Regions from separate parts of the Mus musculus genome. Here region 2 is reported to be linked to region 1. The links are microRNA targets in miRTarBase. Many come from high-throughput screens and were not tested one by one. Region 1 holds a microRNA gene; the other region holds the end of a gene's coding sequence.

Evidence for each region. Region 1 holds the annotated microRNA mmu-miR-875-3p (CCUGAAAAUACUGAGGCUAUG, at 2,189-2,209, opposite strand). A microRNA usually pairs through its seed, bases 2 to 8, with sites in the 3' UTR of a target mRNA and lowers its output. Matches are read on the target gene's strand: a 7mer-m8 pairs with bases 2 to 8, a 7mer-A1 pairs with bases 2 to 7 and ends in A, and an 8mer does both.
Region 2: miRTarBase lists Tmem101 as a target of mmu-miR-875-3p. Seed matches in the 3' UTR shown: 8mer at 889-896.

The regions. Positions count from the first base shown.
Region 1 is chr15:35,658,794-35,661,793 of GRCm38, forward strand. It overlaps Mir875 (microRNA 875), which reads right to left and starts at 2,254; the gene lies at 2,177-2,254. All of the region lies in intron 30 of Vps13b (vacuolar protein sorting 13B), which reads left to right. Mir599 (microRNA 599) reads right to left here and starts at 2,125; the gene lies at 2,038-2,125.
Region 2 is chr11:102,150,777-102,153,776 of GRCm38, reverse strand. Tmem101 (transmembrane protein 101) reads left to right here. Exons shown (of 4, transcript NM_029649.2): 4 at 183-1,230. The coding sequence ends at 491. Among named protein-coding and RNA genes, the nearest start is that of Tmem101, 4.1 kb to the left of the region's middle.

The DNA.
Region 1 (3,000 bases):
GCCCCTTCTTAGAATTGGGAACAAAACACCCATGGAAGGAGTTACAGAGACAAAGTTTGGAGCTGAGACGAAAGGATGGACCATCTAGAGACTGCCATATCCGGGGATACATCCCATAATCAGCTTCCAAATGCTGACACCATTGCATACACTAATAAGATTTTGCTGAAAGGACCCAGATATAGCTGTCTCTTGTGAGACTATGCCAGGGCCTAGCAACACAGAAGTGGATGCTCACAGTCACCTATTGGATGGATCACAAGGCCCCCAGTGGAGGAGCTAGAGAAAGTACCCAAGGAGCTGAAGGGATCTGCAACCCTATAGGTGGAACAACAATATGAACTAACCAGTACCCCCTAGAGCTCGTGTCTCTAGCTGCATATGTATCAGAAGATGGCCTAGTTGGCCATCAGTGGAAAGAGAGGCCCATTGGTCGTGCAAACTTTATATGCCTCAGTACAGGGGAATGCCAGGGCCAAGAAGTGGGAGTGGATGGGTGGGGGAGTGAGTGGGGGAGGGTGTGGGGGACTTTTGGGATAGCATTGGAAATGTAAATGAAATGAATACCTAATTTAAAAAAAAGAAAACAGGTTAAATAGACCTTAAAATAATTTTAAACCTTTAAATCTCCATAATACTTGGCATATAATGCTTGTGTACCATGGCTACTGACATGCAAGACACAAAAATGGTAAAATAGTGTTATGTTTTCTTAAATGCCTATTATAAAATAATTGAATGTTATAATTAAATAGTATTCTGTATGTTTGTTTCCTATATGTGTTCATTGATGAAAGGATGGGTACATGATACATCATACATTCCCTGTTTTTAAAATATCTTTTTAGTGAACTTGTAAATGTGAGATGCTGTAAAGGCCACTTATTTACTGTTTTAGCCTGTATTGACTAGTGTCCACTTACAGCCACAGCCTAACATCTTTACCACAGAGAAGCTAATTAGGTGTCAAATTAAGAAGCAAGGACCATACACATATTCACTACATATGCATAGTAAATTACCTGTATATATCACGTATGAACATCTGGTGAGCAGCAGTGAGGTGGCATGCAGACTTAGAAAGTGTCATTCCCCTGCCCCAGCAATGAACAGTTCTCCTCTGCAGGGTCAGTGTGAAGGACAACTTCCTTCCCACGCATGCTTCTCTTTCTTTATTACAGTGTGCACTGTCATTAGTGTCGTAGGTTAAATAGTTTTTTTATGCACTTAGAAAGGCTTATCCTTTGTTTAGAAGCTGTTTATCCCCTTCATTGAAACCATTCCTTAATCTGATGTTTTTGTTCTGTAATTTCTAACCCTGAACTTTGATAAGGTTAAGATACCAGAAAAGTAGTTCATGTTGGCAAAAGTACTAAGGAACACAGCCCTGATTATCAAGGTAGGTAAAAATGGCCATAGAATGTTTTCTTCTTATTTGTCCTTGTTTCATTCTTGAAGTGATAGTTCCCACAGGAGAAATACTAATTGCTTAAACATAGCCACATTAACACTTCCCCCAGACCCCTGCAGCCTTCACTTCTGCCCATAGTAGCCTATATGTCAAAGATTAACACTGTTCTACCCTTTATGACTATTGGTAACTTTCAAGAAAACTAAATGCTAATTTCAGTTTTTAATTTGTGAATGCTCTTTCCTTAACCTGTGTTTGCCACCTATAAATTTTCTTGTCGAGGATTCTGAACCAAAGCAATACAATAATCGAAAAATATAAAAGTCAATAATTTTGAGCAAAGTCAAAGCATAATTTTAACATAAATTCCTCATATTTTATTATCAGGTAATACATATTTATCCTTAGTGCTATTTTCACCCAAATCCCCTAGCATACCAGTAAACCTTAATAACTGTGGTTATAACTTTAGCAGTGCAACCGTTTCTATCCATATTATTTAAGGCTTTAGTCATTTAGTGAAACTGTCGTATATTTATGCCTTTGGCATTTAGAGAGCACAGAGCTCTTCTACAGGAAATAATGCTTTGAATTCTGGGACTGGTTTTCCTTCCATTGAATTGCTTGTCATCCAGGTATGGGTTTGATAAACTGACACAAAGGTGAAAGAAGTTCCTCTCCTATGTCATCTTATCAAATACACTGTGGACAGCACATCTTTGTGGTGAGTACAGCTGCAGTCACTCAAGGAATCCATGAAGCTTATGCTCAGTGAAACATAGCCTCAGTATTTTCAGGTGATTTTAATGAACACCTGATAAAACTGAGGTATAGTACCACAGAACTGGGAATTTCCCCAAACCTAGGAAAAATAAACAAATGCACAGGGTTATAGGATGGAAGCACCCCTTGTTCATCTTAGTGGCAGAAGAGACATTAATGAAAGAGATAATTCTTTAATTTGCTTTCATTCTGGTAAACATTGTCAAGTTACATTATAAACATACTTGAATTTTAAAATAAGAAAAATGGAATAGAATTGATTTTATATATACTTTCCTATTTTGCATAACATTAGATAGTCTGAATTTTTGCTTTTATCTGGATTCATATTTGTTTAATTTCAATTATTTTATTTGAAAATACATCCTCAGAAGTGTAGTATTTTTTAAAAACAAACAAAAAAGCCTAACAGTACACCAGAATCATTTGTATACTGTCCAGGTTCAAGAATTGTCATGTGAGAAAGATATTTTCTGAAATTTATTCTTGCACTAAAAGTATATAATTCAGGCTCAGGTCAAAAGCTGATTCTATTAATCCAAAGTAACATTGTTAAATCTTTTCAATTTTGGATGAATTTACCTGCTATATACAATATGGAAACACAACTTTGGCGATTCCTTCTATTTTTTTTTTTTTTTAAGTCTTTGCAGAGTAAATGGCATCATACAATTCCAGTACCTTCTCAGTGTGGCTGCAGGGCTGTGTGGACACGGGAGGCGTAGTACAGTGGTCCTCGGCAGAGCAGAAGGTGCTCTCCATCCTGCTAAGAACTGCAGCATCCAGGAGCTTTTCTGAACAAGGGA
Region 2 (3,000 bases), not on the chromosome of region 1:
CTGTCTTCATCTTCACACACCAGAGCAGGGCATCAGATTTCATTAAAGATGGTTGTGAGCCACCATGTGGTTGCTGGGACTTGAACTCAGGACCTCTGGAAGAGCAGTCAGTGTTCTTAACCACTGAGCCATCTCTCCAGCCCTATCTGCTACAGTCTTAAAAGGATGCTGTGTGTCTCTAGGCCTACTCGCTGCAGCACAGCAAGGAGGACCGGCTGGCGTACCTGAACCATCTTCCAGGAGGGGAGCTGATGGTCCAGCTGTTCTTCGTGCTTTATGGGGTCCTGGCCCTGGCCTTCTTGTCGGGTTACTATGTGACGCTGGCCGCCCAGATCCTGGCCGTGTTGTTACCTCCTGTCATGCTGCTTATCGACGGCAACGTCTCCTATTGGCACAACACACGACGCGTCGAGTTCTGGAACCAGATGAAGCTACTCGGCGAGAGTGTGGGCATCTTTGGGGCTGCCGTCATCTTGGCTACTGATGGCTGAGTTCCACGGGGAGAGCCTGGTTTGGGCACAGGAGGCCACCGCCGAAGGCCACCTTACCTTCCTCCTTGCTGGCCCAGTTGTTGTTTATTTATGCTTCTTGGTTTGTTTGTTTACTTTCTTGTTTTTTTTTATTTTAATAGTTACATTTTTGGGGGGGAAGATGGGAGCCCTTGCGCTAAAGCTTCATAGGGTTTTGTTGTTGTTTTCTTGCCTGTTTTAGGGGAGAGCTGAGGCCAGCTGCCCCTCCCCCAAGTGGCCAGGGAGGGAGGAGTCCCTGAGAAAGGAGTAAGGCAGAGCTGGGGTGCAGGTAGAAGTTGGGGACAGAGGAAGATCTGGAAGTAAGCAAATGTGAAAATTCCTTTTGGAACCTGACAGATGCAGCTAAACTAAACAGTGCTTTTCAGACTAGTGTGTGTGTGTGTGTGTGTTCACACATGTGTGTCTTCACATGTATAGAAGTAGCCCTGTAAGGAGGGGCAGAGTGGCTGGTGCTACAGACGTCACATGGGCTCTTTGGGGGTCTGTCTGCTGGGGCAGGAATAATCCCAGTTCTCTGACTCTCGCTCTAGAGTTGAGAACAGGCAGGGCCTGGTGTGCTCTGGGATGTGCAAGGTGGAGCAGGCCTGTCAGTCAGCCTGCTGCTGCATCTGTTCTCAGCTTCTTGGTTGGCTGGCTGAGTGGAGCACCCACCCAAACACCAGACCACACTGTCCTCCGAAAATAAACATTTTATACAGACATTGTGTCTTTGCTTCTGTCTTCCCCGTGGGCACTTGGCCATTGGCTGAGGTTGATTTGGGGGCTCTTGAAAGATCATCTTGGGTTATACCCCATTCTGGTCCCCTATGGTTCCACCACCACCCCAGTTCTAAGAGTTCCCACAGTTCTTCAACTATCTTAAAAGAAAAAAAAAAAAAACCCACACACTTCCTGTCAGACGTCATTAATCCCAGCACTTGGGAGATAGACATCTCTGTGAGTTTGAGGCCAGCCTGGACTACAGAGTGAGATCCAGGACAACTAGGACTACATAGAGAAACCCTGTCTTAACCTCTTTCCCAAATAATAAGTAATTAAATTTAAAAAAAAATCTTAAAACATCAGCTAGAGTTGGCGTGGTTGAGCACAGGCCTAGAAGCCCCAGGCCCTAGGTTCCATTGATAGCATTGAAGAGAGATCTGTCACATCCCAAATCCTTACTATACGTTAGGTTTTCTTAGGGTTTGTTTTGTTTTTTGAGTCAGGGTTTCTCTGTGTAGCCCTGGCTGTTGTGGAATTCACTCTGGAGACCTGGAACTTGGAGATTCATCTGCCTGTTTACAAGTGCTGAGATTAATGGTGCGTGCCACCACACCCAGCATTCATCCCGGGTTTTTGAGGCAGCATCTCACTGTAATCTAGCCTGCTCTTAAACTCCCATTTCCCCGCCCCCACTTCCTGGATGCCGAGGTTACAGGCATGTCTCTATGTCCCACTTAGTGTATGTTTTTGGTTTCTCCCTCCATCCCTCTTATGGCCCATTTTTTCCCTCTCTGCCTGTTTGGGGGGCAGGTCTTTTGAAGAAATCTTTGGCAAGGGCAGCTGGAGCGAGAACTGATGTCATATTACATATAAGGAAATGGGAGACTCAGAGAAGGTAAGCAACTTGCCTCAAACCACAGACCAAACCTAGCTAGAACTAGCTGTCTAGTCAGGTCTATTGAATGTCCAAACCCAGATGTATCCTTGATACACATAATCCCTAGGGAAGTCAGGTTGCTCCTGGGCCTGTCACAGTCCCTAGTGTGCCATGATGGTTTTATAAAGGCATCTAGTATATCAAACATTGTTTGAAAAGTGTTGAAGGGCTGGAGATGTAGCTTAGTTGGTAGCCCTGAGTTCAGTCCCCATCCAGTGGGAATTAATCTGGCATGAAGGCACACGCTTGTAATCTCAGCACTTCGGGAAGCAAAGGAAGGAAGATAAATCCAAGGTCATCAGCTATTTAGTGAATTTCAAGCCAGCCTGGGCCACACTACATCAAAGATTGTATGTGTGTGTGTGGTATGTGTGTGTGTGTGTGTGTGTGTGTGTGTGTGTGTGAGAGAGAGAGAGAGAGAGAGAGAGAGAGAGAGAGAGAGAGAGAGAGAGGAGCTGGAGAGATGAGTGGTGAAGGGCACTTGTTCAGTCATGAGGACTAGAGTTCAAATCCCAGCAGGTGACTCACGAATGCCTGTAATTCCTGCTCCAAGAGATCGAATACTCCTTTGCCTTTCATTCGTGCTTTTGCATGGACTCTCACACGCACATATAACATGTTTTTAAATGTGTGAGGGTATTTTGCCTGCATGTACATCTTTGCACCATGTTCATGCCTGGTACCCATTAAGGTCAGGAAAGGGCATCAGATCCCATGGAGCAGGAGTTAGGGACAATTGTGAGCCACCACGTGGATACCGGGACTAAAATCTGGATGCTATGGCGGAGTAACCAATACTTTTAACCACTGGACCATTTGACTATCTCCCAT